3 linked regions of the Saccharomyces cerevisiae S288C genome follow. The gene in region 2 interacts genetically with the main gene of each other region. Each region holds a gene or a part of one and is shown on either strand. Other genes may lie near its edges. The genes, in order: INP52, RBD2 and BZZ1.

What was found.
Region 1: of RBD2 (region 2) and INP52, changing one suppresses a phenotype caused by changing the other (phenotypic suppression), as found in Saccharomyces cerevisiae (one study listed by BioGRID).
Region 3: of RBD2 (region 2) and BZZ1, changing one suppresses a phenotype caused by changing the other (phenotypic suppression), as found in Saccharomyces cerevisiae (one study listed by BioGRID).

What each region holds. Positions count from the first base shown.
Region 1 is NC_001146.8:420,444-433,197, forward strand, and holds INP52 (phosphatidylinositol-3-/phosphoinositide 5-phosphatase INP52), read right to left. Parts: upstream 4,053-12,754; coding exon 501-4,052; downstream 1-500. Other genes in the region: YEATS domain-containing protein YAF9, read left to right, coding at 1-335; 2-isopropylmalate synthase LEU4, read right to left, coding at 4,452-6,311; MET4 (Met4p), read left to right, coding at 7,292-9,310; DNA-directed DNA polymerase alpha catalytic subunit POL1, read left to right, coding at 9,644-12,754. UniProt on the Saccharomyces cerevisiae protein: Dephosphorylates a number of phosphatidylinositols (PIs) like phosphatidylinositol 4,5-bisphosphate (PtdIns(4,5)P2), but also phosphatidylinositol 3-phosphate (PtdIns(3)P), phosphatidylinositol 4-phosphate (PtdIns(4)P), and phosphatidylinositol 3,5-bisphosphate (PtdIns(3,5)P2).
Region 2 is NC_001148.4:84,009-93,331, reverse strand, and holds RBD2 (putative rhomboid protease RBD2), read left to right. Parts: upstream 1-8,034; coding exon 8,035-8,823; downstream 8,824-9,323. Other genes in the region: IQG1 (Iqg1p), read left to right, coding at 1-2,710; signal recognition particle subunit SRP68, read right to left, coding at 3,016-4,815; UDP-galactose transporter HUT1, read left to right, coding at 5,299-6,318; YPL245W (uncharacterized protein), read right to left, coding at 6,382-7,746; YPL247C (uncharacterized protein), read left to right, coding at 9,136-9,323. UniProt on the Saccharomyces cerevisiae protein: Probable rhomboid-type serine protease that catalyzes intramembrane proteolysis.
Region 3 is NC_001140.6:334,861-340,484, forward strand, and holds BZZ1 (Bzz1p), read left to right. Parts: upstream 1-3,222; coding exon 3,223-5,124; downstream 5,125-5,624. Other genes in the region: YHR112C (putative cystathionine beta-lyase), read right to left, coding at 1-803; APE4 (aspartyl aminopeptidase), read left to right, coding at 1,477-2,949; ubiquitin-conjugating protein DMA1, read right to left, coding at 5,249-5,624. UniProt on the Saccharomyces cerevisiae protein: Plays a role in endocytosis and trafficking to the vacuole. Functions with type I myosins to restore polarity of the actin cytoskeleton after NaCl stress.

The sequences.
Region 1 (12,754 bases), on a different chromosome or scaffold from region 2:
GACTTCATCCTTATGCTAATCCTGTACCGAATTCCGACAATGGAAATGAGCAGAATACAACAGACCATAATAGTAAAGATGCAGAAGTTAGTTCTGTGTATTTTGATGAAATTGTATTCAATGAGCCAAATGAAGAGTTTTTCAAAATTTTAATGAGCCGACCAGGAAATTTGTTACCTTCAAACAAAACTGATGATTGTGTATACTCCAAGCAATTAGAACAGGAAGAAATTGACAGAATAGAGATCGGCATAGAAAAGGTTGACAAGGAAATTGACGAATTGAAGCAGAAACTGGAAAACTTGGTAAAACAAGAAGCCATTAACGGAAGTTAGGATCACTGCACCCGGAACAACGGTATTTTCATAACAGCCATAGTAATACAGATCATGGTTTGAAAGGTCGGCGCTCACAAAACCGAAATGTGTGCAGAGTCATATAAACATCTAAACAACAGTTATGATACATATTCTATAAATGCGTAATTTTAGTAACACAATTTAATTGGGGTCGCAAGGCTTCAATGGATGAACGCTTAGCTTCTCTAGTTCAGGGTTCTTCGCAGGAACTTTTGGTTTAGACTTTTTCTTGCAAGGGAGTTCCTCTTCAGATTTTGAATTCGACGGGGAAACTTTTATTGAGTGTTCTTGAGAGGTGTTAAGCTTGTTAGCAGCAACACTTAAATAATGCGGTTTTTTGACAACTGGTGGCTTCTCAGGTTTTGTGGAGGCCTTTGCTGGCTCAGGATCTTCTGTAGTGGACACACCTGAATTTTTGGTAGATGTAGAGATTTCGTCCGGGGCAGTACTGCTCTTCCTTCTAATAGGAGGACAAGGTCGAGGAACAATTTTCCCATTATCTATGGTCTCTTTAGCATGCTGTAATTCTGAAGAACTTTTCTGTAAAGAGACTGGCTTAGATAAAGATAAAGCGGGCACTGGCGGCAGTGGTTTGGGTGTACTGTGTCTCTCTAAGGCAGGAAGATTGCTCTCACCTTTACGCGGCGATACGCTGACAATGGAAATCTCTTTGGTAGGGGAAAGAAGTTTAGAAGATGGTTCCTTATTGTGCCTCGAGGTAGGAGGAGGCGGAGGAAGCACATTGAGCTTACTTTTATCGGGTGATACGTTACTGAGTCCTCCAGGGCCAACAACAGACGGTTGGGGACTGGGACCAGAAAGTAGAGGCGAAACGCACGAGGAAGTATCATCTAGGTCAATTAGTTTTATGCCCGCTGATTGAACGGTTGCATCTAAGGGTATACTTTCCTTTTGTTTTTCCATTCTTGCATGAGAAAGTTCGTCAGGACCTGTAGTTAGTGCTTCGGGATGCGTATTCTTATATTCTGCATACAGCTTCTCAACTAGGTTAAGCTTCTCTTTTTCGTCAACAAATTTCACATTTGCCCTATATGCAGCATAAACTGGTTTATGATCGCTTATTTTTAAAGGTGCGTCCGAATATGCCAATGGATGCAGGTTTTCACCTTTATATATGATTCTATCAGTCCAAGACGGAGTTCTCGCCTTTTCAGAAGTATCATAATTATCTGTGCCATAATCATATTTATAGGTCGGACGGAATTGGAGGGTCGGTTCTTTAAAGCCCTGAAATACCACTCCTTCATTTATTTCTTGAGTCAACTGATCATATTGAAGCAATCTATCAATATAGCCATCCTTTTGAGCCCTTAATTCTCTTCTAACTTCATCATTTGTCAAAGTTATCCTGTAGTTAAGGTCACCCAACCAAAACAACGAATCATGGTGTGGAATTGTCTTTGATCTTGGAAAGGTTATGTTCCTGTAGATATTGTTGTAGTCATTGCGACGTTCGTCAATGTTACTCGCACCTGCTGATAAATGTGTATTAACGAAACAGAATGAAGTTGCCCCATAATCGAATCTAATGGCTACTGCACCTTTGTTTCCAGTAATACCACCAAACCCAGTCTTTTTGGTAGACCCACCTACCTCTTTTATGTTATAGGCTCTATCTGATCTTGCAAAAAATAGTATCAAAAGAGAGGACATCTGTTCCACTCTAAGTAAAAGATATTTTTCTTCGTATTGATTCAAACAGTCAGTAACCATAGTTTCCCAAAAAGAACTTTTCGTATAATCTGCATTCAAGATAGACCCTGCGGTCAACTCTATAACTTCCTGCAACCCTAACACAACGACATCAGGTTTGAATTTATCGCCGATTGGAAATAACCATTTTGACAAATCTGCTCTTCGAGAGTTTCCGTTAACATTGAATGTACCGACAAACAAATTTATGTTAGAATGAGTGGTGAATTTTTCCTCTGACTCTAACAGCCTTTCATTGACGTATTCGCAGATTGGATCATAAAGTTCAACAACTTGCTGGTGCGGTAGTTTGCCCAAAAGTGTGTCAATATTTTGCTGTTTTCCTTTATCTACAAAATTGTTGATGTACATTCTACTAACGGACTTCGTCGCATCAGAAAGGGCGCCAGAAAAAGACATTTTACCTTTCCTTGAATAGGACGATTTCAGAGCATTTGTCCCAGTGTAAATTTGTGATATCTGATCTCCGTTGTCGGCCCATAAAGCATTCACCTTTTGCACAAATTCATTATCGTCGATGAAACTACTGGGTTTTACCAATCGGAAGTCTTCCAAAAATAGTTTGAAAACGGCCAGTGAAATCGTCTGTTGGATCAAATTTGTTCTATCTAAACAATCCAAGCAATTGGTTCTAAAGACACCGTCTTGTTCGGATATTAATCGCCCTTCTTTTACATCGTATGAAAAGTAACCGGCGTCCAAAATTGTGTTTCTTATTTTAGGGATAATCCTACTTGCAGCTGCAAACCCATCTTGCGAAGTTTCTCTATGGAAATCAAAGCTTGTTAGGAACACATCTCTACCGATTTTCATTTTCTCAGAATTTTTCAACTGTTCCTTGTATCGCCTCGATAATTGAATTTCTGAAGATTTAGTAGACAGCAGGTTGATTATATGAACTGGCCCATACTTCTTAAATAGTCTTATAAAATGTTCATCAAACGTGGGCTGTGTTGCTTCAACAGATCTGGTAATTTGAATCTTTGGACTAATCAAAGATGTATCCTGCTCCCAAAAAATTGGAAGGCTTCCTCTTATCTGCGTGAAAGCATAACAATACTGAGAAGAGTACATAATCATTTCTGTTTCAACAAAATTTGCGACATGGCCATCATCATCTATACCACGTGCATTAAACCTTGTGCCTGCTCTTTTCCAACTTTGCCTGGAAATAATGGTAAGTCCTACTTTCAACCTATTAATATAGCTAAAAATTGTTTCAGCAAACCCTCGGATTACGGTCGTGAGGAATCCTCGTTGATCCAATAGTTCTTTGGCCGTTACATCTAGTCTGTCTCTGTATGTGATGATTTCGTCCATAAGAAACGAGTTCCACATAAACTCCCGGTCAAAATCATCAAAACTCAAAGAGTGTTCCGTGAATCCACGTTTCTGCAATGTACAAGTTAAATCAAAATCGGTGCTGTAATAAAAAGATCCATTTGATAATAGCTTTCTTAGTTCATGACATGGATGCTTGGGAGCTTGTTCTTGAGCATTCAAACTCCTAGAGGAAGAAGAACGTAGCGATGATCTAGAAGAATGTGTGGAAATACTAGGAGGCGAGCTTATTGCAAAATCTCCATCATTAGTAACAATCGGATAACCGGATGAATCGATGTCCATGAAATCCCATTTAGAATTATTTAAGCAAAAAAAATCCACAGCATATATTTTGTTAACCGTTTTGTTTGGGATCGGCTGGGCCACCTTAGATTTACCTGTTATGGTTGCTATGAACATAAGGCCTTCAATTTCTATGAGACCAATAAAACCGTATATTTCATGGTTAGATAGTCTTCTGAAACCATTACCATTTAATTCAGCTTTCGGAACCAATTCCACGGCACATGTAGATCTGCGAGAGTTCTTACTGTTTATTGGCCTAAATACCAGTCCATGTGTTTCTGAAACTATTGCTATCTTTCTAGTTTGCTGTTTCGATAGGAGTATTTTCATAGCTACTGAGTATTTGTTTTTGATTCTGCTGCCTTTGCGTGGCCTTTGTCACCAATTCTGCGAACAAAAATATGTTGAGACTATATGAAGCGAGTACTTATTGTCCTTTATGCCTAGTTTTCCAGTTAAATCTCTCTTAATAACTCCAGGTTTGTTTCAATTTCGTCACTAACCGCCAAACAAGTTTCGGGTCACCCCACACGTATTTGGTTCAAGAATATACTAAAAAAAGAAAAACAAGCACTAGCCCTAGATATGGAAAAAAAGATATTAAAACGTAATTCTAATTTAGACATCCGTGCTTCTAGTAATTATATGGTTAAAAAAAAAGGAAAGGAAGTAAATAAATAAGTATAGAAATAAATAGAAGCGAATAAGTCCTGAAATACAGAAAAGTTCTTATGCAGAGCCAGATGCCGCAGCATTCTTACCTTCGACCTCGGCCAAAGATGGAATGGACACATCACCAGAATGGATAATATTGTTAATGGTGGCAAAGATGGCTCTCACTGAAGAATCACCGACATCTTCGGAGACACCTACACCCCATTTGTAGGCCTTTTCGTTGTCGGCATTACGCCTATACGATAGATGGATGTAAGAAGCAGCTTGCGTAGAAGAACCAGAACCTAGAGAATGCTCTGTGTAGTTTGCTACGGCAAATCTCACGTTCAACAAGTTTGATAGGGCGTCGACCAAAGAAGAGATTGGACCATTACCTGTACCTTCAATATCGACGATCTGGTCGCCTACTTTGACTTGACCAGTGAACACTCTACGTTCAGTGCCGAATTTTTCAACATTATAATTGACTAAACTAATAGCTTGGTACTGTTCGTCATTGTAGTTGTAAGCCTCTTTGAATAACTTGGAAATCTCATCTGATTTTAGTTCTCTACCCAAGGAGTCAGCATGGTCTTGAACGGCGCTAGAAAATTCGATTTGCATGTTTCTTGGTAGATCCAAACCCAAAGATCTCAAAATAACCCAAGCGGCACCACCTTTACCAGACTGAGAGTTGACTCTGATGACAGCTTCGTAATCACGGCCAATGTCCTTTGGATCCAATGGCAAGTATGGGATTCTCCATTGAGTTTCACCTTGAGCACGCTTCTTGTTTTGTAAGTTGAAACCCTTCTTAATGGCGTCTTGGTGAGAACCGGAAAAGGCACAAACGACCAAGTCACCGCCGTATGGTGCTCTTTGCGATACTGGGATCTTATTACAACGCTCAACCACATCTAGGACAGAGGTCAAGTCAGAGAAATCCAAATTAGGAGAAACACCTTGGGTATACATATTCATAGCAACAGTAACCAAGTCCACATTACCTGTACGTTCACCATTACCAAAGAGACATCCTTCTACACGGTCGGCACCTGCAAGCATACCTAACTCTGTGGCGGCGACACCGCAACCACGGTCATTGTGACAATGTGTAGAGATGCAAACCTTCTCACGCTCAGTAATATGGGTAGCGAAGTATTCAATCTGATCAGCATAAACATTTGGAGAGGCAACTTCTACGGTAGCAGGTAAGTTGAAAATGATTGGATTTTCCTCGGTAGGTTCCCAAGCCTTCTTAACAGCTTCGCAAATTTCTACAGCAAATTCACCTGGAGTATCACTGAAACATTCGGGGGAAAACTCATAGGACCAACGAGTGGCTTGTTGGGAAGGGTCATCCTTAGTTAGTTTCCTAACTAGTTTGGTGGCCTCTACTGCCTTGGAAATAGCTTCCTCTCTAGACATATTAAAAACAATTTCACGGAACATATCACTTGTTGCCAAGTAAGTATGTATAGTAGCCTTTTTAGCACCTGTTAATGCTTCCACCGTTCTCTTAATCAAGTGTTCTCTAGATTGGACAAGACATTGAATACTAACATCGTCTGGGGCGTTTTCTACAGCATATCTAGTGAAGTCGAAATCTGTTTGAGATGCAGAGGGGAAGGAAACCTCGATTTCTTTGAACCCAATATTGACCAGCTTGTGAAAGTATTCTTTCTTTTGTTCCACTGACATGGGATCCGGCAGAGATTGGTTACCATCTCTCAAATCTGTTGATAACCAACGAGGAGCCCTCGTGATCCGGTTATCCGGCCACTTTCTATTAGATAGCTTTGGAGCGTTAAATGGCTTGTACTTGGAGGAAGGGTCCTTAAGCATATTTTTATAGGCTAGCTTCACTGGAGGAATAACTCTTGAGGCTCTGGAGGCCGCATGCTCAGCAAGAGCAATAATACTCTCTTTAACCATGATTGTTCCTTGTCTTTTTGTAAGGAAAAAGTCTACAGTAAACTTCTAGTGTGAGAATCCTTTTTTTTCTTCAAAAAATACCCTTTGAAAGAACTGAGTCACTTACACGTAAGTTTCTTTTTACTGGTCAAGTTGAAAAATAACCAATAAATGATTATGGAAAGAACGTTGAAAGAGGAGAGAGGCTGACCCAAGAGGAGAAAACATCGAACCTACGCGACTCCATAGCGCACATCTCCCATGCGCCCGTGCTTATATATATATAAATATACATACACACATACATGCACGCACATACATGCACGCGCATGACAGTGACTGGCCGTTACTGTACAATTTTTTCAGCCAAGTATGACACACATTCAACTCAGCTTTTCTGAGGCCTTCTTTCTTTTCCTGCGCGTCGGTAGAGCGATGACTAACCTACTACTGTCTCAGAGCCGGTCCCGCTCCGGTAGCAATCCTGGGGCTGGTCATAACAGCCGAGTGGAAGTGTCAAAGCGGAGAACAGAAGCATAAGCTCAATCGCTGGACATACGGATGCTTATATACGTCTTATTGTCGTTGAAAAATATCGAATTTTTTACTTCATTTATCGAGGCTTCTTCGAGCACTTTTCCGCTATGGCTTTTTCCCCGTTTCCTTTTAATCACGTGCGCGGGTAGCACCCGGCACACAGCTGGTGTCTCGTCGCACATGCTATTGTGTGTCATCGGGCCACACAAGCATATTGCTTGAATTTTCTTTCATCGTTCAACTTAAATCCACCCAATCTAGATGTAGCCGTAGCATGTAATAACGTATATCCTTGTTTACATGCATCTGTGCCAGGTGAAACGGTCTGTTTGAACGCACATCATTTCATATATTAGTCAACTCCTGAAGGTCTTCTTGCCTGTCCGTCAACTGTTTAGACAGACTCTCGTCAATAAAGCGCACTTCTGATAAGCACTTTTATTCCTTTTTTTCCACTGTGAACGATGAAGCAGGAGCAGTCCCACGAAGGCGACTCATACAGCACGGAATTCATAAATCTCTTTGGCAAAGATACCGCAACACACCCTAGCAGCAACAACGGTGCTAATAATAATGGCATGGGGAGCACGAACTCGTTGGACCAGTTTGTGGCAACAGCCTCATCGTCATCTTCTCTGGTGACCAGCAGCGAGAATAGGCGCCCCCTAATAGGTGACGTTACCAATAGGGGCAACACTAACCTATATGACCACGCTGTCACGCCAGAAATACTCTTAGAACAGTTGGCCTACGTGGATAACTTCATACCATCTCTGGATAACGAGTTCTCTAATGTGGATTGGAATGTGAATACCACCCATAATAATGCAAACAATAATGGCGCGGACACTTTCAGCAGCATAAATGCAAATCCTTTTGACTTGGATGAACAACTAGCCATTGAGTTGAGTGCGTTTGCCGACGATTCTTTCATCTTCCCAGACGAGGATAAGCCGAGCAATAACAATAACAACAGCAATAATGGTAATGACGACCATAGCAACCACGACGTATTGCATGAGGACCCTTCTACCAATAATAGACAAAGAAATCCTCACTTCTTGACTCAAAGAAGGAATACTTTCCTAACTTCCCAATACGACCAATCAAAGTCTCGATTTTCGTCCAAAAACAAAAGAAATGGCAATAACGGCGAAACAAACAACTTTGGCGACAATATGCAAAATAACCATCCTTTTGAGCCAAACTTTATGGGAAGCCCTTCTCAGTTTCCCGCTGACGCAACTAATATGACATCAATCGACCATGGCGGCTTCACAAATGTTGACATTACATCAACTGAGAACAATACTACCGGTGACAATGGAGTGGATGCGCTATCAAATCTACTACATAGGACAACACACACACCGAACCGCTCCTCCCCCCTAAGCAATGTCACTTCTGCTCAAAATTCCTCTTCACAACAACGAAAACATTCGGAAAGCAAAGTCGATAGTAACAGCGATAATAACAGCTCCAACAAAGCCCCCAATATAACTGTTCCTGACTATTCAATTATACCAACCTCTGTTTTAGTAACTCTATTACCGAGGGTCAACGTGCCCAACGGCGCATATAACTCGTTGATCAGCGCGGGATTTGACAATGATCAAATAGATGCTATAGCCGCAATAATGGCGTATCATCATCAAAAAAAGATTAGGGAAAATAACAGTAATAATAATAAAAACATCAACACCAATGACAGTCAAGAGGCACCCATTCTAAAAAACATCAACGAACTTTTAAGTGTCTTAATACCACCCTCTCCGGCTGAAACTGCTGCGCCAACTACCTTATCAACGTCGCCTTCGTTCAATGAGCACGGTGTAGTAGCAGAGGCTTCTTTTCTAAGCTCCATTTTGGAACTGGGCATAAAGCATCCAAAAAGTAATAATATTCACAATCAACGACAACCTTCACGAAACGATCATAAAATATCAAGAGAGAGTGACGGTAACAATGGAAACGATAATGTCCATCATAATAACGCTGTTATTAAGTCAAGTACGACGCGTGGAGACGAAATTGCCAAGATACGATCCGAGCCAACTTTAAATGCAAGTTCTTCTGATCACAAGGAAAATAGTTTAAAAAGATCACACTCCGGAGATTTGAAAAATAAAAAAGTACCCGTCGACCGCAAGTATTCTGATAATGAAGACGATGAATATGACGATGCAGATTTACACGGCTTTGAAAAGAAGCAACTGATCAAGAAAGAGTTAGGGGACGACGATGAAGATTTATTGATACAGTCGAAAAAATCTCATCAAAAAAAAAAACTAAAGGAAAAGGAGTTAGAATCATCGATACATGAACTGACCGAAATTGCAGCATCCTTACAAAAACGGATACATACGTTAGAAACGGAAAACAAGCTTTTAAAGAATTTAGTTCTGAGTAGCGGTGAAACGGAAGGAATAAAAAAAGCTGAAAGCTTAAAGAAGCAAATTTTTGAGAAGGTTCAGAAAGAATAAAATAACAGACTATACAGTTTAATTATATATATATATATATATACGTGCATTTTTCTTAAAGAAATATAACTTTTTTCTTGTACTGCCTGCAATCTCTATTCTTCATTCATCACACATCTATTCAAACGCGTTAAAATTTTTTTGTTAGCCTATAAGTAAAACGCGTCGCGTGTATCCAATTTTACTGAATTAAATTCTTTACTCATTGGATGATATATATCTTCTTGGTCTAGACAACGAACACATACCAATTCAGACTCACGAGAAAAAAAACTGTCTTCACTCTGCTATTAGAAACCAAATAGTATCAAGGCATAAAATAAACAGTGGAAAATGTCTTCTAAAAGTGAAAAATTAGAAAAATTGAGAAAGCTGCAAGCCGCTCGAAATGGTACATCCATCGATGATTACGAAGGTGACGAATCAGATGGTGACAGAATATACGACGAAATCGACGAAAAAGAATACAGGGCCAGAAAGCGCCAGGAATTGCTGCATGACGATTTTGTTGTAGATGACGATGGTGTAGGCTACGTCGATCGTGGTGTCGAAGAAGATTGGAGGGAAGTTGATAACAGTTCAAGTGATGAAGACACTGGAAACCTTGCTAGCAAGGATTCTAAAAGGAAGAAGAATATAAAAAGGGAGAAAGACCACCAGATTACAGATATGCTGCGAACTCAACATTCCAAATCAACACTGCTAGCACATGCAAAAAAATCCCAAAAAAAAAGTATCCCCATCGATAATTTTGATGACATTCTTGGTGAGTTTGAATCTGGTGAAGTAGAAAAACCCAATATTTTACTGCCATCCAAATTAAGGGAAAATTTAAATTCTTCGCCGACTAGTGAATTTAAATCGTCAATAAAGAGAGTTAACGGAAACGATGAGTCAAGTCATGATGCCGGTATTTCTAAAAAAGTCAAGATTGATCCAGATTCAAGTACTGATAAATATTTAGAAATCGAATCATCACCGTTAAAATTACAAAGCAGGAAACTGCGCTACGCAAATGATGTACAGGATTTATTGGATGATGTGGAAAATTCCCCAGTAGTAGCCACAAAGAGACAGAATGTACTTCAAGATACGTTACTAGCAAATCCACCATCCGCTCAAAGTTTGGCTGATGAAGAAGATGATGAAGATAGTGATGAAGATATTATTCTGAAAAGAAGAACTATGAGAAGTGTGACAACAACTAGACGCGTGAATATAGACTCAAGAAGTAACCCTTCAACTTCACCGTTTGTCACAGCACCCGGAACGCCAATCGGTATTAAAGGACTAACTCCAAGTAAATCTTTGCAGAGCAACACCGATGTTGCTACACTTGCGGTTAATGTCAAAAAGGAAGATGTGGTAGATCCGGAAACTGATACTTTCCAAATGTTTTGGTTGGATTACTGTGAAGTGAACAACACTTTGATTTTATTTGGTAAGGTTAAACTAAAGGATGATAATTGTGTGTCAGCCATGGTTCAAATCAACGGTCTCTGTAGAGAGCTATTTTTCCTTCCAAGAGAGGGTAAAACACCTACCGATATACACGAGGAAATAATTCCGTTACTGATGGATAAATATGGACTGGATAATATCCGCGCTAAACCTCAAAAAATGAAATATTCGTTTGAGCTTCCTGACATTCCATCTGAAAGTGATTATTTGAAAGTCTTACTTCCATACCAAACACCGAAGTCCAGTCGAGACACCATTCCATCGGATTTATCTAGCGATACCTTTTATCATGTTTTTGGTGGGAATTCCAATATTTTTGAAAGTTTTGTTATTCAAAATAGGATTATGGGACCATGCTGGTTAGATATAAAGGGAGCAGATTTCAATTCAATTCGTAATGCTTCTCACTGTGCGGTTGAAGTTTCGGTAGATAAGCCTCAGAATATCACGCCTACTACAACAAAGACAATGCCTAATCTGAGATGTCTATCTTTATCGATTCAGACGTTAATGAATCCCAAGGAAAATAAGCAAGAGATTGTTTCGATAACGTTATCAGCATATAGAAATATCTCGTTGGATTCACCGATACCTGAAAATATAAAACCAGACGACTTGTGTACTTTAGTAAGGCCGCCTCAGTCAACTAGTTTCCCATTAGGTTTAGCTGCACTGGCAAAACAGAAACTACCCGGTAGAGTCAGGTTGTTCAACAACGAAAAGGCCATGCTATCTTGTTTTTGTGCTATGTTAAAAGTGGAAGACCCAGATGTTATCATAGGCCATCGTTTGCAAAATGTCTACTTAGATGTTTTAGCTCATAGAATGCATGATCTCAACATTCCAACGTTCAGCTCTATTGGCCGTCGTTTAAGAAGGACTTGGCCTGAAAAATTCGGTAGAGGAAATTCGAATATGAACCATTTTTTTATTAGTGACATTTGCTCTGGTAGGCTGATATGTGATATCGCCAATGAAATGGGTCAATCATTAACACCCAAATGTCAAAGTTGGGATCTTTCAGAGATGTATCAAGTTACATGTGAAAAGGAGCATAAGCCGTTAGATATTGATTATCAAAATCCACAATACCAAAATGATGTAAATAGTATGACAATGGCCCTACAAGAGAATATTACTAATTGTATGATTTCTGCTGAGGTGTCTTATAGAATTCAATTATTAACCTTGACTAAACAGTTGACAAATTTGGCTGGTAATGCATGGGCCCAAACGCTAGGCGGTACAAGAGCTGGTAGAAATGAGTATATCTTACTACATGAATTTTCAAGAAATGGTTTTATTGTTCCTGACAAAGAAGGCAATAGAAGTAGAGCTCAGAAACAAAGACAAAATGAAGAAAATGCTGATGCACCAGTTAATTCTAAAAAGGCAAAATATCAGGGTGGTTTAGTTTTTGAACCTGAGAAAGGTCTTCATAAGAATTACGTTTTAGTCATGGACTTTAATTCTTTGTATCCATCTATTATCCAGGAATTTAATATATGTTTTACCACCGTTGATAGAAATAAGGAAGATATCGATGAGTTACCAAGCGTACCTCCTTCAGAGGTGGATCAGGGTGTTTTACCAAGGTTATTAGCTAATCTGGTGGATCGTCGACGTGAAGTTAAGAAGGTGATGAAAACTGAAACTGATCCCCATAAGCGAGTTCAATGTGATATTCGTCAACAAGCTCTAAAATTGACTGCCAATTCTATGTATGGTTGTTTGGGTTATGTTAACAGTAGATTTTACGCAAAGCCGCTCGCCATGTTAGTCACTAATAAGGGTCGTGAGATTTTAATGAATACAAGACAACTAGCTGAAAGTATGAATCTTCTTGTAGTTTATGGTGATACAGATTCGGTCATGATAGATACCGGTTGTGATAATTATGCGGATGCAATTAAAATTGGCTTGGGATTTAAAAGGCTAGTAAATGAGCGCTATAGATTATTGGAGATTGATATTGATAATGTT
Region 2 (9,323 bases):
TGCTGTACATGATGTACATAAGGAAAATATCTCAAAATTGCAAAGCTTGATTAGAGGAATATTTACGCGTTCGTGCCTAGCATCAATAATATATTCACTTGGAAAAGAAAACTGTAATATTATTCAATTATCAGCCTGTATACGCGGAAACGCTGTAAGACATAAGGTACAGTCACTGTTTGCGCCCGAAAATAATCTCAGTGAAACTGTGCACGACCTCCAGGGTTTGGTTAGAGGTATTCTAGTCCGCTACACATTAGACTTAGTCGATGACATTGTGGAGTATAATAATTTAGCATTATTTCAAGCATTTTCTAGAGGCGCTTTAGTACGTGAAAGCTTGGACCAAAAGTCGAGTTTTTACAAGAGAAACGTAAGGTCGGTTATTATGATTCAAAGCTGGATTAGGAAAAGTCTGCAAAGATCGGCATATTTGGAACTTCTAGACTGTCCAAATCCAAGTCTTTGGGCTGTCAAAAAATTCGTTCATTTGCTCAATGGAACAGCAACCATTGAAGAGGTCCAAAACCAGTTGGAGAGTTGCCAAGCCTCTCTTGATTCCGAAAATATGAAGAAGGAACGATTACTGAAGAGCATAAGACAACAACTAAATATTAACGGAGTATTGGATAAGTTTGGACTATTAAAAGATAAAGATCATGAACTCGGTATTTCCGATTCTACGATTCCGAAGTCTAAATATCAAAAGTATGAAAAACTGTTCTATATGTTGCAAGTTGATCCCTCTTATTGGAAATTGCTGTATTTGAAAGAGCCAGAATTTGTTGCAAAGAATGTTTATATGACATTTGGAACAGTGAATCAAAGGATGAACGACAGAGAGAGATCCTATTTCACAAGGTTTGTTTGTGAAATGTTACAAAATGCGATTAATGAAGCACCGAGTATTGAAAGCTTTCTTGACAACCGATCACAATTTTGGCAAACCATTCTTCAAGATTTTTTGAGAAGAGAGTCTCCAGAATTCTTCTCTATAATAGTCCCAGTTTTGGATTACTTGTCAGATCCAGTAGTGGATTTTGAAAGTGATCCATACAAAATTTATCAAGAAATACACGGCTTTAGCTCTCCTCAGCATTGTTCGCCTGTGGATGATGCGAGTACCAAGAATAAGTTCATTGACAATTTAAGGTGCCTATGGCACGCGATTGAAATGGTCGCTGAAATTTATACCAGAAAGGTTCACACTATTCCCGTTGAAATCAGGTACCTCTGCACTAAAATCTTCTGCTACGCGGCAGATAAGAATATTGAGGAGATTGACTCTTTAAGGGCCATATCAAGTATTCTAGTGAACGTTTTTGTGTCTGAATATTTGGTCAACCGGGAATATTACGGATACAAAGACAGCAACGTTCAAAAAAATAACCAAAAAATTGACATTCTAATGAAATCCTTGGCGACTGTTTTTGAAATCAAAAATTTTGATGGCTTTTTGGATCCATTGAACCAGTACGCTAACGAAATAAAGCCTCATATCAAAGATGTCCTTTATAATGTGTTAGTAGATCCAGAGTATGAACAAGAGGGAGATAGATTGATTTATTTGGATATGGTATCGCCAAGCCCCAAATTGGAATTGTTAACTGAAAAGGTTCTGGAAATCAGTGGTAAATTTGAAGAGTATTTAAATGAATTTCCGGAAGCAGATATTTTGCATGATATTTTGGAAAAGAACTTGGACAATTCATCCTTTCCAAGATCAGGACGTGTTACCTTGGAATTGGATGCATCTGCATATCGATTCCTCGTTAGTGATGACAAGATGAGAAAAATCTACGACCAAGTTAAAAGGGCATTTGTGTACATGATGCAAATTGAGGATGTAGATACCAATTTGTATGACCTTTCAATTAGTACAATTCTACCTCAAGATGAACCAAATTTTGCAAATTTTCTGGAGCAAAATCCTAAAATCAGGGATGATCCAATGATACAGAAGCTGAAACCATTGAAATACTTCACACTCAAAAATGTTACTTTGAAAAAAATACATGAACTAGAAAGTACGGGGACTTTTTGCTCTTCTGATAATAAGTTACAAAATTTCTTAAACGATATTGCGAACACTATTAAAAATCCCAACTATGCCATTGATTATGTAACCCAGGAAATTTACATCACAAAGGAAACACTCACAAAAATTTCGGAAATGAACCACAGCTTAGATATAGAATTATCAAGGCTTAAAAAACATGTTGATCATACGATAAAAGACTTCCAGAAAGCCAAGGATTTTTCGCCGGTGCACAAAAGTAAATTTGGAAATTTTAAGAATGCAGTAAAAAAAGTTCAAGGAAGAGAACGTTCTGAATTGCAGGGAATGAAGTTTAAATGGAACACAAAGCAGTTGTATGAAAGAGGAGTGCTTAAAACCATCAGGGGTGAAAAACTAGCTGAACTGACTGTAAAAGTCTTTGGTTCGAGCGGTCCTAAATTCCCAGATATAATATTCAAAATTTCCACATCGGATGGTTCTAGATTCGGTATTCAAATGATTGACAAAAGAAAAGGGCCCGATAAACGATACTCGGATGATGTCGATTCTTTCTCATTTAAAGACTTGATAAAGACTCAAGTTGAACCAAAAATCGAGACGTGGAAATTATTCCATTCCAACGTTGTTGTTAACAATAGCCAATTACTACATTTGATTGTCAGTTTTTTCTATAAAAGGAACGCTTTGTAATAGATAACTCGGTTTTGAGCATATTGGGCAAAAGCTGTTACTAAATTTTCCCATTCTTTCTATTTTTATCTTTGTTTTTATTTTCCTTATTTTCAGCAGCAAAAATAATTTAACGTATAGTTATGTAAAGGACCCTAAACATCTTCTTTTTAGCATGTGCTGTAATTTGGCGATATCTTCAGTAGATAAAAATAAGATGTGTTAAGTAATGCACTTCGTTATTTGGCTACTATAGTTGGCAATCATCATTTGTTTAAATGGAATAATCTATATAGTACTATAAATACAGTCATACTAGAAAAATATTAACGACCAAATAGGCCCAAGAAACCACGCTTCTTTTTAGGCTCTCCTTCCGTCTGCTCATTAGAAATTGGTGTTTGAGAGATGCTCTCGGTTTCTGTGACTGAATCTTTCACTTGAGAAGCTGAGGGCTCTTGCTTATCATATGTTATGTAGTTGAAGGCCAAATCAAAAAGTGTTGGTTTACTAGGAATGGGCAGCATTTTTGGCTTGAGAGGGAATAAATTTTTCAATTGTATGTCCGTTGGCAGTATTTTTTTACTATCCAATTTTTCAATCACTGTCAAATCATATTTCCCTAAGCTGCCACCATGATTTCTTTTTTCGTATTCCGCCAAAGTAATGACACTATTACCACCGTTTTCGATTCTCTTTTGTAAGCTTCGGACAGAATTCAATGACAAAAGATTTGCTGGAAGTAAGATTTCGTCTAGAGATTCAATTTCAGATAATTTGTTTTCTAATCTTCGGTAAGCGTCCACATATAGAGCTAACGCCTCCATATATCTGCCTTTCGACTGATATAAAACACTCAGGCAGCCCGTATTCAGAAATAACTGGAAATACAGCTTGCATAAGTCTAATTGGCTTAGCAGCTCGTCATCTGAATACACACCAGGTAGCTCCATTATGTCCGATAAATATTTTGTCAAATTCTTCACAATACGTTCCATTTCTTTATATTTGGTTAACTTCGATGGTAATGAAGTATTTAATTTCAGCCATTGATTCCATAAATGAGTAAACAAATCTCTTTCACGAGATATAGAGGTCAAAAGAATATTATATTTAATGTAGGCTAAAATTATCTGATTGTTTTCAGAACTATTTTCAACCATCTCGTCTATGTCATCTTGATCGTCGTGGTTTGCGATGAAAAATTCATGACGGTCTAAAGCTTTCTCCAATTTTGATAGCCTCTGTGTATATTGAGTAATCTGAGTTGGGTGGATAGATAGACCTTGTTCCAAAAATTGAGCAACTTCAGCATCGATTATCTTGGCGTTGAAAGATCTCCAGTTTATGTTAGTGGTAACCTTTTGATCTTCAGTTGAGGTTGTAATTTTTTTCATATTGAATCCATTGTCTAATAACAATTTCACAAGCTCATCGTCCTTGTTCTCATCAGATTGAACTCTTTCCACGATAAAGTTATTTATTTCGGGCGTTGTAATTAAATTTCCCGCGTACTGCTTGAGAGAGTACTGGTATTTATTAACAATGTTATCTACAACTTCTTCAGCTAATAAGCTTAGATTCTTCAAGTGTTCCAATGCGGCGAAAACGAGGGCTAGGTTGTTCGAAATTTTGGCATTGTCCTTCCTCTTGAACCTTTTTCCATTAATTAGGTACTCTGAATGTACCAATTTAGCGAACGCTAAATATTGGGCACGAGTTATCCATTGCTGTTCATTTTGAGTGACGTTAACCAATTTATCAGCAGTCTTGCAGGCCTTCTTCAATCTTGTGGATAAAACCTTTTCTTCACTTTTCTTTAACTTTCCTCTTTGACGAGCTCTCAATTTCAAAGTTTCAGCCAGTGCCAAGTCCCTTTCAGCGTGTAGTAAAATCAAAACACCAATCAATTTAGTTTTATTATCATAATCCTCGGAGTTAATTTCGCCATACTTATTTTTACTTGAGTATTTCTTTGTATCCTTGGTGACCAAATGGCAACGGCTCCTCAAGTGTTGCAACTTTTTATTCAATTTCGCATGATACTTAGCGAAGTCTGAGTCTGTTTCTAAAAACTGTTCTGCACGATTACCATAGGTGGCAATGATTGGAGAATAGGCAACCATCTTTAGTTTCAAGCGTGGCTAGTTTTTGATTCAATATGGAAAAAAAGAAAATTACACTGTAATATAATACAATTGATCACTTTGATGCTCAAATAATTCAAATAACCTAGTCTCCAGCTGCTCGTTTATGCTAATATTGTTGGATTAACTCTAGCAAATATACTCCAAAAAAAATTTTCAGAACTTATCACGAACAACGATGTGGTAAAGACAACGAAATACTACGTAAATCATATTGGTCTGCTCGTTTATAAAAGCTTACTCCCAATCAAATCACTGCAATGGAATATGTCGTTTGGTTCGTTGTTGTAGTTTGTGGAATGCCAGAATCATCAGCTGTTTCTCTTCCAAAGCTTCCCTGAGATCGCTTCTAAAGGTTGTTTTGTAGATCCCATCGAACATGAAAAAATGACAGCAATGTAATTAGAACCAGAATTACAACGTAACAAGAAGAAGTAAACAAGGCAGTATTCGTATATTTGTATGGCGGGAAGTACATCCAGTTTGGTGATCTGTGCGATTGGTATATATGCTACTTTTTTGACGTGGGCATTAGTACAGGAGCCTTTGGCTACAAGAACCTGGCCAAACTCCATGGGAAAGTTTCAATTCCCTAATGTAATATCCCTCATACAAGCTTCTGTGGCAATGATGATGGGCTACCTGTACTTAAACTGGAAGAAGGTGGAATATCCGCCCAGAAAAATGATTAAAGATCATTGGAAACAATTGATGTTGATATCATTTACACAGAGTAGTTCAGGCCCGCTGGCTACAACTTCTTTAAAGCACGTGGATTATCTCACTTACATGTTAGCAAAGTCATGCAAGATGATCCCCGTGTTGTTGGTGCATTTGCTTTTGTATAGGACGCCCATAGCAAGCCAAAAAAAAGTTGTAGCTCTCTTGGTAAGTCTCGGTGTCACTATTTTCACTATAGGTGGCAACGATGGTAAAAAGTTGAAGAGATCCTTTAATGAGAGCGGAAATGATAACAAATTACAAGGGTTTGGACTACTTTTCTCTAGTTTATTCCTTGATGGATTGACCAACGCCACCCAAGATAAGCTACTAAAGGCCAATAAGGCCAAAGAAAAGGGAAAACAAACTTTGATAACAGGTGCACACTTGATGTTTACACTGAACCTCTTCGTGATATTGTGGAATATTTTGTATTTTATTGTGATCGACTGCAAACAATGGGATAATGCCGTTTCTGTATTGACGATGGACCCACAAGTGTGGGGCTATTTAATGCTTTATTCGTTCTGTGGCGCTATGGGACAATGCTTTATTTTCTATACTCTAGAACAATTTGGCTCTTTAGTTTTGATCATGATAACAGTCACCAGGAAAATGGTCTCGATGATTTTGAGTATTATTGTCTTCGGTAAGAGTGTACGTTTCCAGCAATGGGTGGGGATGTTTATAGTATTTGGTGGAATCACTTGGGAAGCACTCAACAAGAAGAAGGCTAATATACCGAAGGCAAAATCTGCGTAGATTAGTGAAGATCGCAACAAATAAAAGTTAATATTTATAAAATTTGTCTATACTATGTACTTCCTATTTTTTTGATGGACGAAGCAGTCTCTCTCTTAATTCAGGATCGTATGCATAAACATACAGACCACGCACGCCACGAGTTAAGAGGACATTAATGCTATTCATAATAATCTTTTGCTTAACGTCCTCTGCATTGTGAATGTTTTTCTTTTTGGTGAAACCGGCCCTATCGTCATACAGCTCTGGTCTTAGTTTGATGCAGTCATTAGCCGCATCATACCCAATGGAACGGCCCAAAATTACACCAGCATAATTCAGATCAAACCCTTGGATAGTATACACACTACCTACCTCATCAATCGTGTCGCAACGCTCACTCCAAGGCGTCACTTCACGTGGAGTATAGCGATCCCAGCGAACTTTGAAATTGTCACCACATTCAACGTAATAGTCTTTTCCGTCCAAGCGATAGGGAAAATCGTAAGTAGATAGCATCCTACATTGGCCGTATTGACGGTCTTTCTCCTTGATTGCCTCGTACATGGCGCCACAATCATCCCAAATTTTGAAATCAAAATTCTTAATTTTATCGTCAGCACAATCTGCATTGCCCTTAGATAGCACAGATTCAATTGGTGGGATTTTACCTGCGACACTAATTTGGTCAATCCAGTTCAACACGTTTTGTGGGGCAGCAACCCTAAACTGCTGTTTTAAAGTGTACCAGTCTCTGGATTTTGGTGGAATCTCGTTGTAAAAGTCCTTTAAAGTGGCACCGTTATTAGAACCTTCATCCCAATAGGAACCCATTCTTAAAGCTTGCTTATCATCGTAAACCAATACAAGCACTTTACAAAGGGACATTAAGTCTTTGAGATGGTTTTCGCCATAAAATCTTTTGAAAGCATCCTTAGAAGTGGCCAACAAATGTGCTTCATCTACAATGACTACATCGGCCATGACTTTTCTCTTCTGTAGATTGTTGATCAACGAAGTGGGCCGTTCTAGTGACGATTTAGAAATATATTTGAAACTGTCACTAATCCGGATATATAACTTTAACATCTCGGGATGGTTGACTACCAGATAATTATGTGTCCCATGTAAGATATCTTCAGAAGAAGGTGAGAACTGGGATAGTTTCTGAATTTCATTGAACAAGGAGTTTAGAATCACAGACTTGCCTGTACCTGCGTCCCCTTGGATTACAAACATGGCCGGATGTTTCCAGTCAGACTTGTACTGAGATAAGTTGGAACGCATGAACGACAAAACGCGCTCTCTCAACTTTTCTTGTTCAGCAGAGAGTGTTACGTTAGACAACTTGTTCATAGCCTGCGTGGAGACCACGGGCCTAGGTGCTCTTCTTGGTCTCTTCACGCTTCTCACATTGCGGGAAATAGCTTTTGAAGTAGGCCCATGCATTTTATATGGTTCTAATGGAAGTTAAATGCTACTACCGGGTCGCCAAGAAAGATGCGATGCCATGCTGCATACATATGCATAGATTGTTTATATATGGCGATGGCTGCTTTTATGATTTCTCGAGAAAATTTTTCACTTTTTTCGGCCCTTTGAGATCTAAAGCCTCTTTTTTTTTTTTTTTTTGAACTGCATCGATACAAGAAGAATAGGGGGATGGGAAAGGCTTAATTGGAAGCACTGAGAACAGCAATTCACTCTGGTTGTTAGGTTGTGCTATTTGGTCGTGCTATGAATTGGAAGTCGTACGTTTTTCCCGGTGGTCATCCACCAGCTGCGTTGACCACAGGCCTTGTGGTATTTCTAACCGCTATTTACCTGTTAAGTTTTATTTTTGCCCTAAGGGAAGACCTGTCGTTGGCGCCAGAGTCATTGTTCAAACTGCAAATGAGCAGGCTATCGCTTTATCCTTTAATTCACCTATCATTGCCTCATTTACTGTTCAATGTGCTAGCCATCTGGGCACCCTTGAATCTCTTCGAAGAAACGCATGGGACTGTGTACACAGGTGTTTTTTTGAACCTGAGTGCTCTATTTGCCGGAATTCTGTACTGTTTGTTGGGTAAGTTGCTATATCCAGAAGCATTAGTTGCAGGCGCCAGTGGGTGGTGTTTCACCTTATTCGCATACTATAGTTTTAAAGAATCACAGATCCGCCCTAGAACAAGGATCTTTCGCACAGACTACTCAATTCCGACATTATATACACCCCTAGTACTATTAGTCGCAATTGCCGTCGTTATACCTGGCTCCAGTTTCTGGGGTCATTTTTTCGGCTTATGTGTCGGTTACGCCATAGGCTACAAGGAATCGTGGTTTAACAAGATCACTCCACCAGGATGGATCATCACCAAAATCGAAAAAAGTTTAGACGGTTTAATTCGATTAATACCTTGGGGAATTAAGTATTACAGAGATGAGGATATCGACAGAACTAAAGATTACGAACCGTTAATGTCCACAGAAACACCATTGCCTCTCCACAATGACAACTCCGGCACTGTCCTAGGGACTGCCTAGACATTTGTATCGCTATTCTTTCTTTCACAGTTTAAGGATGTATATAAATGTAGTATATATCATTTTATATTCTAATATGCAAGAATTTTCAGTCTCTTCTTTTTCCTTAGCGTGCGTTTATGAAAAAAAATGGAATATGAATAATTACTGGGAGGAAGACCAGGGGCAAGGGGTGAACCATCTTGTCATCTGAAATCTTGTATAAATAATTTAGTAATCAGTTCTTTAGGTTTTCGAGAGTGGCATACAACCTAAAGGGTCAACAGACAACAAGAAGGAAAGGAATTATAGGAGCAAATACACGCCCTTCAAATGGATCCCTTTCACAATGGCAATAAAAGGAGCTCAATATCGTTTGGCTCATCGCAGCGGCAGCCATATAACAAGAACAATTACTTGAGTGGTACTAATGGGCCTTCCTCGGCGGCACAAGATCAAGGTAGAGGCCCATCTCCCTTTGGAATGTCTGGCAACACTACCAATGGCGGTAACAGCAAAAG
Region 3 (5,624 bases), on a different chromosome or scaffold from region 2:
TCTGACAAAAATCTAACTAATTTCGTAGCATTTTCTGATTGTTTGGTTATTCTCATTTCGTAGGTTCTCAGGGATCGCAACAACATGAAACTTTCCAAATTTGCCACGTTTGTACCCAAGTAGATTCTGTCGTCTTTTAGTTGTCGGGAAGTTGCTTCCTCTTTGACTACAAGGACGCCACTTAACAAGTCAGAATGACCACCAAAGTACTTAGTAGCAGAGTATAGGACAATATCGGCTCCGAAATTCCATGCGTATTGCAATGGAGGAGATGCGAATGTGGAATCCACTATAAGCAGGGCGCCTTTTGCATGAGCTCTGCGGGCCAAACTCTCGATATCAGAAGAGGTACCATATGGGTTTACAGGAGATTCCAGATGGACAATGTCACCTTCAGAAGCACATTTTTCAATATCTTCCAAGGGGTGTTGCTCAATGCCGTAATTACGGGTCAATATGTTAGCAATTGCTCGAACACCATGGTAGCTCTGTCCGATAAAGATCTTCTTAGGGTTGTAATGTACCATTGCCGCATAGAACGCAGCTAACCCTGAAGAATAAATGACAGCATAACCATCGAGGATCTCTGAGAAGATACTCTCTAATCTGGTGCTATTTGGATGCGCTAGCCGTGAATATACGGGCTTCTTCTCCATAAAGTCCAAGTTTTCACGCTCTGTCCATGGAATTAGGTCGTCATCGTCGTAACGGAAGGTTGTAGAGACATTAATTGGGGGCGCCACGTCAGTAACCCTGTTATCTTTATCATCGCCATGAATCAAAGCTGTTGACAAGTCCACCATCTTACGTACTCTTTTCGTGCAATCTTTCCTTTATAGCATGTACTACAACATTTGAAGAGATGGAGGGATTGCAACGATCTATTGTTGCGCAATATGCTTATATATCGCGTGTTGCATAAACCCATCAAGTGATCGCACTCTGAATTAAACACCGCAAAAAAATAGAAACCACAGTTTCACCATTTGACAAGAACTCACAAGATATCCTTGAGGTCTATCAGTAAGTGGTTAATCCCGTACCAAAGCGTATGTGAAGGACTTCAGAAACAGTTATTTCACGTACTACAATTATTACAACTGGCCCTCTTTCCCTTATATATACTGTAAATATTGCGACTGACATGGAGACCACATAATCACACGTGATAAATAGTCCCGTTCAACTTACGTATATAATGTGATTCAGTGTTCCGCCAAGGAGTAAACTCCTTTAGTTTAAGGTCTGCTTATTTTTGCAACAGAAGCCTGCCTTGGCTTTCGAGATACTAGTTTCTGGCTACGGTTTTCTATTCCTTATCATTTTAGCCTTATCATACTTGCTGAAAAGTTGCAGATATCTCCACGCTCTTAAATGAAAGAAAAAAGGGCGTTTTCCTCCTGTATGAATGAAAGAAAAAATTCATGTTATGTGAGCAAGTAGGTAAAAAGAAAGAATAAAAGGTTCAGCTTTTCTATGTTCAGGATACAACTGAGAACTATGTCCAGCAAAACATGCAAGAGTGATTACCCAAAGGAGTTTGTCAGTTTCTTAAATAGCTCACACTCTCCTTACCATACAGTTCATAACATCAAAAAGCATCTGGTGTCAAATGGCTTCAAAGAGTTGAGCGAACGTGACTCGTGGGCTGGCCACGTCGCACAAAAAGGAAAGTACTTTGTGACAAGAAATGGCTCTTCCATTATTGCGTTTGCTGTTGGTGGAAAGTGGGAGCCTGGTAATCCAATTGCCATTACGGGTGCTCACACCGACTCCCCCGCATTAAGGATTAAGCCTATTTCTAAAAGAGTCAGTGAGAAGTATTTACAAGTGGGCGTGGAAACTTATGGTGGCGCTATTTGGCATTCATGGTTTGATAAGGATTTGGGCGTTGCCGGAAGAGTTTTCGTAAAGGATGCGAAAACTGGCAAATCCATTGCTAGATTGGTGGATTTGAATAGACCTCTGTTAAAGATTCCTACTTTGGCTATTCATCTGGACAGAGACGTAAATCAAAAATTCGAGTTTAATAGAGAAACTCAACTGTTGCCGATTGGTGGTCTGCAAGAAGACAAAACTGAAGCGAAAACTGAAAAGGAAATTAATAACGGTGAGTTTACCTCCATAAAAACGATAGTACAGAGGCATCACGCAGAACTTTTGGGGCTAATAGCCAAAGAACTCGCCATTGATACAATTGAAGACATTGAAGACTTCGAATTGATCCTTTATGATCATAATGCATCCACTCTAGGTGGGTTCAACGATGAGTTTGTCTTCTCTGGTCGATTGGATAATTTGACATCTTGTTTCACATCAATGCACGGTTTAACGTTGGCGGCTGACACAGAAATTGACCGAGAATCAGGCATTAGATTGATGGCATGCTTTGATCATGAGGAGATTGGCTCATCCTCCGCCCAAGGGGCAGATTCTAACTTCTTGCCTAATATATTGGAAAGGTTGTCCATCCTGAAGGGGGACGGTTCTGATCAAACTAAACCTTTGTTTCACTCGGCAATATTGGAAACTTCCGCTAAGTCGTTTTTCCTTTCATCTGATGTTGCTCATGCAGTTCATCCAAACTATGCAAACAAATACGAAAGCCAACACAAACCCTTATTGGGTGGTGGTCCCGTAATCAAGATTAACGCGAATCAACGTTACATGACCAATTCACCAGGGTTGGTCTTGGTGAAAAGACTAGCAGAGGCTGCTAAAGTCCCTTTGCAATTGTTTGTCGTAGCTAACGACTCACCATGCGGTTCTACCATCGGCCCCATTTTGGCCTCAAAGACAGGTATTAGAACTCTAGACTTGGGTAATCCTGTGTTGAGTATGCATTCGATTAGAGAGACCGGTGGCTCTGCAGACCTGGAGTTCCAAATCAAGTTATTTAAGGAATTTTTTGAACGCTACACTTCCATAGAATCTGAAATTGTTGTCTAAACTGCAATTGTTAGATGATTCATAATCCGGTATATTTATTGCCCTCTTTTGTATTTTACAAATAGTAAATATATATAATATCTTGTGATCTACATAAGCTTTCGCGGGGTCTTCAGAAAAATAAAAAGTTTTTAAAAGAATATACGCTTAGCAAAGGAATAGACAGATTTAGTTTGTACGCAAATAGTTTTTGAAGAAGGTAGCAGATTGATCAATTTTGTATGAGCGGAAATCTATCCTTAAACGCCAACTACTACATTACTTGCAATAAAAATGAGTGCAGATTTATCGATTGGTAATGAAATTAAAGATTCATTTAAGGAAACCCATAAATGGGTCCAAAATAACTTAAAATGGTTGAAGGACATTGAGCAATTTTATCGGGAAAGGGCTAAGTTAGAAAAAGACTACAGCGAGAGATTATCTCGCTTATCAGCAGAGTACTTTAATAAGAAGTCTTCGACCTCAGTTCCTATCTCGGTAGGTGACACACCTACTACCACGCCAGGGTCCATTGAAGCTGCAGGTGTGGTTGCATGGAATGAAATTCTATCTCAGACTGATATGATTTCCAAGGATCATGATCAGTTATCAACCGACTTTGAAAATCATGTAGCAAATCAATTGAGTGGATTATTCACTAAACTTGATATGACTTTGAGCAAGATAAATGGATTTAACAATGACATGGTTAATAAAAAGGATAACATTTACCACGAACTGGAAAAAGCGAAGAAGGACTATGATGAAGCCTGTTCCACTATGGAAATGGCAAGAAATAGGTATACCAAGGCATCTAATGATAGAAATAAAAAGAAGTTGGATGAAAAAGAAATGGAGATGAACAAGTGTAAAAATGAATATTTAATCAAGATCAACCAGGCAAATAGAACTAAGGATAAATACTATTTTCAAGATGTTCCTGAAGTGCTAGATCTTCTACAAGACGTAAATGAGGCAAAGACCCTTTTCTTAAATGATCTGTGGTTGAAGGCGGCTTCTGTCGAGAACGATCTGGGTGCAAATGTCAGCAAAAGACTCCAGGCGGCAAATTCTGTTGTCAAGCAGAATAAACCCTCTTTAAACACGGCCATCTTTATCAAGCACAATCTAAAGAATTGGAAAGAACCACAAGACTTTGTCTATAAGCCATCTCCAGTATGGCATGATGATGAAAAATTTGCTGTTCCCTCGTCGTTGGAAGTTGAAGACTTGAGAATAAAACTGGCAAAAGCAGAAAATGATTACAATTCATTGCAAGATAAAACTCAAAATGAGTTATCCAAACTGTCTACTTTGAACAAGATAAAGCACGAAATGAAAACTAATGAAGATAATATCAATGCCACTAAGTTTTATGATACACTAAAGGAATACTTAAATGTCGTTTCACCCTTTACCTCACACGAAACATTAAAATTGCAAGCCGAAGTTCAAATCGAAAGTATTCAGAATAATGTTCCTGAAGAATACGATTTATCCACAGACAATATTGATCTTTCCAAAACAAAGAAGAAATCCGGGATATTCAGTAAGTTCAAACACAACATCCTGAACGTCGACTCGAAGCCTTCGAGTGGAGGGAGCACTGGTAATGGCAACGGAGGACCCTTGCATATAACAAGTCTCTTCAACACATCAAGAAGAACTAGGCTAGGCTCTGCCCCTAACAACGCTGGTGAAGATTCAGATAATAATTCTATACGCACCACTAGTACCAACAATACAAAAAAGACCACACAAAATTCCAGTGATGACGGCAAGAATAAAGTGTTGTATGCATACGTACAAAAGGATGATGACGAAATCACCATTACGCCAGGAGACAAAATCTCTTTGGTTGCACGCGATACGGGTTCTGGATGGACTAAGATAAATAACGACACCACTGGGGAAACCGGCCTTGTACCCACCACATATATTCGCATATCTAGCGCGGCTACAGTTAAAGCAAATGATAGAGGCCCTGCACCAGAAGTACCACCACCAAGAAGGAGTACACTACCTGTTAGGACGATGGAGGCCATATATGCCTACGAAGCACAGGGAGATGATGAGATTTCAATTGATCCGGGGGACATAATTACTGTTATCAGAGGCGATGACGGTAGCGGGTGGACATATGGTGAATGTGACGGATTGAAAGGTCTATTTCCTACAAGTTACTGTAAATGAACGAAGGAATGAACTGAAACTATTAAATATTTTCCCTGGCCGCCACTTTTTTGAGAGGTATGACGACTCTATGTTATATATATATATATATATATATATATATATAGCACAAAATTTCATGTGATCAATCTACTAGGCGAACACCTAAATTGTTATTTATTTCCATGTCTATATCCATTTCAATGTCTGGCTCATCTTCGTCCTCGTTTTCGAATTCGGATTCAGATTCGGATTCCAAGGTAGTCTCCAAATCACAGTTTGTCCTACAGTTCGGACACATGAATTGAGGATAATTCATAATAACCAATCTTCTTACACAATGAAAATGCCAACTATGGGCACATGGTGATATAAAAATGGCTTGGCAAGGTTTTATTTTGTTTAGACAAATGGAACAGTCTTCTTGTTCTAAACCAGTAGTTAGTTTCTGTAGATTTTTTATTCGGCTCAAGGCTTCTTTATTAAATGCATTGGCCTTTAATTTCCAAGACTTGTTCAAT